Linked DNA regions of Kluyveromyces lactis. The protein of the gene in region 3 purifies or fractionates together with the protein of the main gene of each other region. This does not show direct contact. Links are inferred from orthologs where the notes say so. Each region holds a gene or a part of one and is shown on either strand. Other genes may lie near its edges. The genes, in order: LHP1, SEC65 and SRP68.

Evidence for each region.
Region 1: the proteins of SRP68 (region 3) and LHP1 purify together in Saccharomyces cerevisiae (affinity purification with mass spectrometry; 3 studies listed by BioGRID). This does not show direct contact. The link is inferred for Kluyveromyces lactis from reciprocal best matches to the Saccharomyces cerevisiae genes SRP68 and LHP1.
Region 2: the proteins of SRP68 (region 3) and SEC65 purify together in Saccharomyces cerevisiae (affinity purification with mass spectrometry; 5 studies listed by BioGRID, with this or other methods). This does not show direct contact. The link is inferred for Kluyveromyces lactis from reciprocal best matches to the Saccharomyces cerevisiae genes SRP68 and SEC65.

The regions. Positions count from the first base shown.
Region 1 is NC_006041.1:128,665-131,356, forward strand, and holds LHP1 (tRNA maturation protein LHP1), read left to right. Parts: upstream 1-1,264; coding exon 1,265-2,065; downstream 2,066-2,692. Other genes in the region: PSY3 (Psy3p), read left to right, coding at 268-894; KNH1 (Knh1p), read right to left, coding at 2,330-2,692.
Region 2 is NC_006040.1:164,754-167,461, forward strand, and holds SEC65 (RNA-binding signal recognition particle subunit SEC65), read right to left. Parts: upstream 1,377-2,708; coding exon 564-1,376; downstream 1-563. Other genes in the region: orotate phosphoribosyltransferase URA5, read left to right, coding at 1-451; RRN9 (Rrn9p), read left to right, coding at 1,662-2,708. UniProt on the Saccharomyces cerevisiae protein: Signal-recognition-particle (SRP) assembly has a crucial role in targeting secretory proteins to the rough endoplasmic reticulum (ER) membrane.
Region 3 is NC_006040.1:1,096,415-1,100,138, reverse strand, and holds SRP68 (signal recognition particle subunit SRP68), read right to left. Parts: upstream 2,356-3,724; coding exon 601-2,355; downstream 1-600. Other genes in the region: KLLA0_D12892g (uncharacterized protein), read right to left, coding at 1-188; UDP-galactose transporter HUT1, read left to right, coding at 2,845-3,724. UniProt on the Saccharomyces cerevisiae protein: Component of the signal recognition particle (SRP) complex, a ribonucleoprotein complex that mediates the cotranslational targeting of secretory and membrane proteins to the endoplasmic reticulum (ER).

The DNA.
Region 1 (2,692 bases), on a different chromosome or scaffold from region 3:
GAGAACGAGATGAAACTCAACATTGTAACAACAGTTGGAACGAACATACCCAGAAAGTTTCGTGATAGCGGAATCGGCAGCAATCAATTATCTGTTAAAACCAGACAGATCCAGTTAGAACTGTGAATTTGCAAACTAAATAATCCTGGATATGATCCATGTATTTAGTGAAATCATCACCATCAAATAAAGGAACAGAGCACCTGGATAACAATTGAGGGCATTTGAAATCTGTGTTCAAGTAGCAAACGACGTAGCGAAAATTAAATGAACGTTGTGTCAAGGTGCAAAGTGTACTCTTTGGACCAATTTACAAGTCCATACCAGTATACATGCGAAGTCAACGGTAAGAAATGTACCAGGATTCACGTCGTACAGGAATCTCTGCGAGGAAACGGTAAAACAAGAACCATAGTGAACACAGTGCGCGAACAATGTGAGGGGAACGGACTAATCTTGAACATTTCTTCGATGCCCCGGAACGACCACAACGACAATGACTTGCTCGAAACATACCCGGAATTCCAACAGACTAATCTTTCCATGCTTCAGTTCGATTCCTTTATTCAATTTATGTCTCAATTATGTACAGATCCCGTGACCGCATTGTCTAGATGCCAACCGCAGAATTCGGAAACGTCTACATCGAAGCAGTTGGCATGGGTCCTCATTGATAATTTGTCGCACTTATCCATGGACCCCAAATTCGACGCCAAGTTGCTCAACAGATCAATTAGACTCGTACAACAGACTTTCGGTTCTGTCGTTATCTCTACAAGTTTGCCCTTATCGTTCCATGGTGGTATAGAAAGCACGTTTAAACATCAATCAACAAAATGTGCAAGTGGTGACCGTCTGTTACCCTATTTCAATGAATCCGACATTATCCTATAAGCTCTACAAAACGCTGTGCTAGAAACCGTGTTGCCCTACTATGTGATCTTCTCATCTCTGCATGGCAAAAGGACATGGTTCTGTCTACACCAAACAATTTTTTTTTTTTTTCATGCATTTTTGAACATGGAAAAACGTTAAAGAATTACGAAATGACATTCCAATTGAAGTTATGATACAGGTTCTAATCGATACTGTTAACATCCTTGTCTTTGTGCATTGTAGCTTCCATTTCCTTTCAGAACTGGGTTAAAGTTTAAGGCTTTTTCCCTATTGTTTGTGGTCATTTATCTAGCTGTCTATTGGATTGTTTGGATCATAGCCGTAAAGAATCGAATCGCACTTCTCATAACAAGTTATACTGGAAACAATGTCATTTTCCCAAGAGATCCGTCGTCGTGGGTCTTATGCCCCAATCGATTTCACTCCTGAGGTGTCTCAGGCTTGCCGCAAACAAGTGGAATTCTACTTCAGTGAATATAATTTGCCCTACGATAAATTTTTACGCTCTCTATGCGAACAGAATGACGGATGGATTCCAATTACGACACTTGCGTCTTTCAACAGAATGAAAAAGTATAGACCTGTCGACAAAGTTGTTGATTGTTTAAAGGACTCGACGATTCTAGAGGTTAGCGCTGATGGTGAAAATGTGCGTAGAAAGAGTCCATTAGAGACAGTTGATTTTAAGGACAGGAACGAAAGAGTGTTAGTGTTTATGAACTTTAAGAAGATCGAAAATGAAGATAAAGATAAATTCCTAGAATTACAAGAAGAACTAGAGAAGTTCTTCAATGGGTTCACCACTGTTAACCAAGTTCGTTTGAAGAAGGACCATAAGAAATACTTCAACGGTGTTGTCGAAGTCGAATTCAAGACGAAGGAGGAATGTGTCAAATTCTTTGAGGAACACAAGACCGATTTCTCATATCAGGGACAACCATTGGAAGTTGTCACTAAGAAGCAATACAGCCTCGCCAAGAATGCAACTAGATCAAAGAATTTCGGTGGTTCTGGTCAAAAGACAAGATCATTAACTGGTTACAGGAAGAACATCCCAAAGACTAATGACGAAACTCCTGAAGCCAGTTCTGAATCAAAGCTCAGTGAAGGAGATGCCAATGCTCCAACTGAGAAGAAATCGGAAGAAAGTGCCACAGAAACTGCTTAAGGCAGTCCGGGCTATTCTCATATTGTTATTCTAAAGCTCTTTTTTCCGGTGTCAATCGAACTCTTTGCCAGTAAATTGTAAGAGGATGGATACCAATGGAATCTCCAAGAAAAGAGGTTTAACGAAATAATAAATACACACACTTATATATGATAAATAATGACATATATTAAGTTTTTAAGAAGAAAAATATAAAGTTTACCCATAAATGTTTTTTGTTTAAAGACTAGAATGGAAATTGTCACTTGTATCGATTCTTATCATTCAAATAGCTCTCTTCACATTCAATTTCCTAACACTCATAGTCTGTCTGTCTTTAGGATCGTACCATCCACCATTCTCGGTGGGGAATGGTGCAGGGGTTGCATAGTTGTAATCTGAAGGTCTTGTGTATGACCAACCTGGGGTGATGGTGGTTTTTTGCTGCAAAGAATTGATCAGCGAAGGGAAGTAAGACACCGCACTTGTCGCGTATCTTCTTGACCAAGTCTCCAAAGTTACAGTAGAACCCGGTTGTTGTTGCATTGGAGCAAATCTGGAAATACCCGTTTGTTTGGTATATGGAATAGTGAAAGATCTTGTATCTACTGAAGCCGCATCAAGAGATATCTGCTTTGGAGGACCATC
Region 2 (2,708 bases), about 930 kb from region 3:
AGGTATTCCATTAGCATCGATCGTTTGTGTGAAGTTAGCTGAAATCGGTGGTTCGAAATTCCAAGATGTGAAGTATGCCTTCAACAGAAAGGAAGCCAAGGACCATGGTGAAGGTGGTAATATCGTTGGTGCTGCACTAAAGGACCAAAAAATCTTGATCATCGACGATGTCATGACTGCAGGAACTGCAATCAACGAAGCGTTTGAGATCATTGCCAAGGAAGAAGGCAAAGTTGTTGGATCCATTATCGCATTAGACAGACAAGAGGTGGTTAACACCGAAGACACCGAAGTTCTAAGTGCTACTCAATCTGTTTCTAAGAGATATGACATCCCAGTTTTAAGTATTGTCAACCTGTCAAACATTATCAGCTACTTGGATGGCAGAATCTCTGTGGAAGAAAGGGAAAAGATGGAACAATACCGTCAAACTTATGGTGCATCTGCATAATATCACCCTCGAATCTATCTTAACATATATAATTATACATATTTAAAACAGACACTGGGAAACGCCGCTTCTTGTTTAGATATTTGGTGATAAAAATGACAGAAGTATTCCATTAACGTCTTACTACACGGAACTTGTTCTTTGGCATCTTCATTTGTTTCTCTGGTGCAGATACCTGCTGCGCGGGAGGCGGAGGTGGAGGAGCATCATATAGCGATTTTGTCATTGGATGCTGTGTCAAGTATGGACTATGCAATGGCACGATGTCATTCATTGCTGTTCCCTTCAATAAAGGAATCTTCTTCGGTTCTACGTTATCAAAATCTGGTCCATATGGAAGCTGTTTTACACTCTCAAGTGTTGTAGGATGGCTCTTCAAGTACTCTCCAATACGCTTCATCAATACTCGCTTGTTATCGATTCCACTCACAAATGGTTTTCCATTTTCCTTGATCAACACACGTACTCTTCCCGGATTACCAAAATCTTGTGGATGTGTCTTTGATCCTTCGAATATTGATGGAATTCCAAGCGATCTGGCAGCATCTGCTATCGTCTTGGCCAATGGGTTCTCCACACAAAGATCTTTTGGAGCACGTCTCCCTTGGGCATGCGTCCTTCTAGTGTCGAAATAACATGGATACAACATCTGGAATTCTTTGATCTCATCCAGCTCTTCTTTAGTCAAAGAATGACTCTTTTCCACTTGACCGGTGGTGCTATTAACAAAATTGAACCCACTACCGCTGCCTGCATTACCAGAAATTGCAGCAGAATATGCTTCTTCTTCTTGATCTTGCGATCTAACCACAGTGGGTACGATCTTTGGTGCCACTGGTGTCTTCATCGTGGAGTCCAATTCTGCGAGATCCATCTCTAAATTATCGATATCATCGATATCATCGATCTCTTCAATCACAGGCATTGTGTGTAAATATCCCTAACAAATACTGTAGCCTTAACTATTGCTTGGTTGATGCTGCTTTGTTTCCAACTCTTTGAAGTGGTCGTTCTTATCCACTGTTTAAAGCTCATCAAAAATTTTCAATTGAATTTAAAGGTTTAGTAGGGATAGAGAACTAAAGAGGATCAACTAACATGAATCCAAACAGCTACTAATGATTGAGTTCATAGCAATTGTAGCCGCTGGACTTCAAGTGGGTAGCTAACATTGTACCGGTCCCTTTTTATTCGGTTTTGTTTCGGTAAAATGGACTCACAACTGGCCCGTGATGCCATAGATCTGTTAGCAACGCTAGATCAAGAACAAAGGAATGATCTTTCAGTACATTTATACTCTGCGCATCTATTGAAACACTTATTGTATAGAGCGAATAAGGATGAGAAGAACATATTACGTACCGAGACGTTTGTGAAGACCGTCTTGAAAGAAGATTGGACCGCGTGGCCGAGCAGAAATTCAATAATCGACCCCAATACATCCGATATATATGAAGATCAAGCAGGGTGTCTCGCCTCTGAAAATATAGGCGGTATTCATAGGAAAGGGGTACAACCGGGTCAATTGGACCAGTCATCGTTGAACCATGCGACAGAGATGTTATATGGAGAACTCAATGCGTTCTGGCAGCAGAAACTCAAAGAGAGTTCGGTAATGGGCCAACAAACTGAAAATAAGACCGCCGATGAGGGTCAGATTGAGGATCCAAATACAATTGTCGATGAAAATGACAGTGAGATACTTGGCGTAAATGATACGGCGCTGGACGTCAACGAAATGGATTTACCAGATGATATATTTCAAAACCTACTGTTCAAGGTGGATAGGTTTATTGGATCTTTGCATTTGGATGCAGCTGAGACCAACACTGTCACGTTATCGACAATTCCTAGTGAGCCTGAGATCAAATTAAAGAGTACCACCATAGGCAATACTGAAGCAGTGACGACCAGAAGTAAAGAAAAGTACGATTACAAGGACATAATTGTGCACGGCTGTGAGACTGGGGAAGATATGTCTCGACAATATTTGCGGGCCATTGATTTATTTCAAGATCTGCCGAAGACTATGGACAAATCGCAGTTTGTACTCCCGGATGCATACTTGGACAGGTTCTCTCAGGTGAACCTGGGCAACTCGGACTCGGAACAATCAGATGATGATCCACAAGATCATACAAAGCTCGAAGAGAACATTAAGAAGAAAGAAAACAGTGGTAAGAAAGACGTGAAATCGTTCGTTGATATGAAACGAATTATCAAGGATCGTAATAATGATCCTGTAGTGAGAAGAGAG
Region 3 (3,724 bases):
GTATAGTAACTCCCTAGCTTCGACTTATTTAGATCGAATATCCATCCTATTAGACATTTTCTGTGTACCTGTAAGTTACAACCGCATTGGTGTACGATCCAGTCGTCGTTCTCACACTCCGTATCTAAACACACCCAACAAACGTACTGCTTGTGAAATAGATCATCAATACAACTTCGGAGTGTCATCCTAAAACTGCCTAGGATAAGAGTAAATGTTGTCCTTAATTAAACACCACTGATAAAGCTCTAATATACGATTTATTGCCTGGCTCTATTGCCTGAGTAACCTGTATTTCTTCCATCTTTTTAGGGTGAATGTTATATAGATAAAGTTTCAATTTCTGAAGTCTTTCCTCATGAAAAGTTCATTATAAGCACGATTAAATGAAGGAAGATACCATGAATAAAACTCACTTTTGGTTACCTCCTCCTCCATCAGCGTTACTGTTGTTGCTCCAGTTCTGAACCGATGTCATGAACTAGGCTCCCTTCGGTAATTATCTCCAAGCTATCTTATCTTGATGTTGGGACGGTATATATTTTACAAAAATACTAACTATGTTGACTATAATCGTCTTGGATGGGAGTTGTGGTATAATTAACCTCTGAAAAGACCGAATAAACCTTTCTTGGATGGTGCTTTCGATTCCTTGACGGGTTCATCGTCTTGGTTTGCCTCAGCAGTAGTTGAAGATACCGACTCTTCTGTAACAGAGGTAGAATCTGGTATGTTGAAGTAGTTGTAAGCCAAGTCGTAGAGGAAAGGTTTTGGAGGAATTGGAAGAAGTCTTGGTGCGAGTGGGTACAAGTTATCCAAGGATACGTCACTTGGTCTCACTTTGCTTTCCAAAATCTCGACTAGAGATGGTTCGAATTGACGGGTTTTCTTGTTCTTTTCCATAGATTTCTTGTGCTCTGCCAGGGCAACAACAGATCTCCATCCGGTAGTGATGTATTTCTTCAAGTCTGTGATCTTCCCCTTCGAGAGTAGCTGGGATGGTAGATAGATTTCATCCCAGTTTATCAGGGATTCTTCGGCGTTTTCAATTCTTTGTAAGCAGTCGACATATAGGGCGAGTGATTCCACGTATTTCTTCTTCGATTGATATATGTTTGCTAGCAGTTTGGAAGTGAAACAAGTTTCATAGTAAGTCTTCAAGAGGAACACTTGGTTTGTTAGGTCGCTGTCTGAGTAAACACCCGGTAGATCCATAATCTGACTTAACAAACTCTTTAAGTTCTTGATAATATGGTCCACTTCTTTGTACTTGTTTAACTTGCTCGTAAAAGACTTATTGTCAAATCTTTCCCATTGCTTCAAAAGACTCTCGAACAAGCTGCTGTCTCTTTCTACACCGGTTACCATGGCATTGTATTGTAGATAAGTCAAGAGAATTTGATTGTTTTCGTCAGTATCATCTTCAGAGCATGTCGTCATATATTCTTTTTGTAAATCAATGGCTCTGTTCCACTTAAATAGTTTATCGTTCAAATTGGAAAGCTTGCTGGAGTTGTGCAATTCAGCCAATTCACTGTACACTTCAAACACTTTACTGTCTTCTATCGTTGCGGAATATGATCTCCATGAAATCTCACGGGATTGACTCTTTGAAGCGTCAGTTTCGGGAACCGAGAAAGAGAACCCATGAGATTGTAACAATTGCAAAAGTTGGTCTTCCGGGTTAGCCTGTATGACTCTTGAAATATAGGTTTGTTGATCTCTGACAGAAAAGGCATTGGCCTTCTCTTTGAAAATGTACAGGTACTTGCTCTTCACTGCATCGGCCACGCCTTCCTTCAATAGCTTTGAATCAACTAAAAAGTTGACCGCAGCTAGTGCTAATGCTAGATGGGTAGAAATCTTCTCTGCATCGGAGAATTTGACCTGTTTCTTACCGTACAGCTCATATTCGGTCCGGATTAACTTTTCATATATCATTATTTCTGCTTGGATCTGCCACTTGTCCTCACCTTGAGACAATGAAATAAGTCTGTCACAGTACCTATTGGCCTTCTTTATCCTGGTACGCATGAGTTTCAATTCAAGACTCCTCAAGTGGCCCCTGCTTCTACCTGTGGCCTTGATACTTTCTACGTAAGCCACATCTCTTTCTGCTAACAAAAGCATTAAGAATCCATACAACCGATTCTTACTGTAATCCTCATGCGTAATCTTATCAAGTTTCTCCTGGCCCTTATAGTTCTTAGAATCCTTGGAAATCAACTTTAAACGGCCTCTCAATTGTTGTAACTTATGGTTAACCTTTTTATGATATTTATGGTAATCTGCAAAAGATTCTAACAATAAATTGGATCTGAACCCATAGGTAACACCCAAAGGAGAGTATACCATTGTTCCTTAATAGCTTAAAGTCAATTGATGAAGTCTTGTGAAAGGAATAAGTCAACCAATACACCCTTTAAACTTGGTGGAGACCTCAAATAGTCATGGTTCAACATTATTCAAAGTAGCTTTAGATCGATTACGAATTTCAAATAAAAAAATTTTTCCAGCTTAACTATGGTGAAAGATGAGGAAATCGTTGCCAGATCTGAACAAAATAGAGAACAGTATATGCATCGCTTGCTCAATTGGTACCTGACTTTCCATATCAGATACTGCTGCTTACTATTTATCTTATAAGCCGTGTTAAGACACAATTCGAGGCAGATTTCCCTGTTCAATATCCGTTTGAAATTTGTCACTGTGATAGAAACGATCTTGAATCATTTCTACTTGAAATAACAAAAGGTGTCAAACAAGAGATATATCTGGTAAAAAGAGCAAGTTCGTTCCCAACAAACGTATCTGGCAAGCTTATAAGGTGTTACATTGTTGGTAATGGGACGTCATATATTGAAACATGTTTTCGCGGTAGGAGGAATCTACTGTTCGTTTTTGACATGGGGTTTATTGCAAGAGCCTTTGAACACTAGAGTATGGCCGAACTCTGGCTGTACGTTTCAAGTACCATACATAGTCGCATTGGTACAGGCAACAATTGCTATGATTTGTGGGTTAATCTATATAAAATGGCAGAAACCTGTGCTTTCTCTATCGAAATTTTGGACCAGTCATACAAGGGATATGGCGATTATTTCATTATCCCAGGCAATTTCTGCTCCGTTAGCTGCTTACTCGTTAAGCTATGTGGATTTCTTGACTTATATGTTGGCAAAGTCATGCAAACTTTTACCGGTGCTGATGGTCCATTTGATTGTGTACCGTACACCAATTCCAAGAAGTAAGAAATTAGTGGTACTGTTGGTAACGGTTGGGATAACAATATTCACTTTGGATGGACATAAACCTTCTATGACTGAGAATGACGTTTCTGAGAGTTCTTCATCTTCTTCGTTGATTGGTTTTGTGCTGCTGGGTAGCAGTCTTTTCCTTGATGGATTAACCAACGCTAAACAGGATAAGCTATTCCAGAAGGCCACTTATAAGATCACTGGTGCTCATCTCATGTTTGCATTAAACTTCTTCCTAATTGTATGGAACGTAATATATATGGTTCTAGTTGATAGACAACAATTGGCAAAAGGTTTGAAGATGTTACATGCGGATCCAGAAATTAGTCGTTATCTTCTGGCATACGCCTGTTGCGGCGCAATCGGTCAATGCTTTATCTTCTACACTTTGGAACAGTACGGATCGTTGGTGTTAGTAATGGTCACCGTGACTAGAAAGATGTTTTCTATGATCTTAAGCATAATCG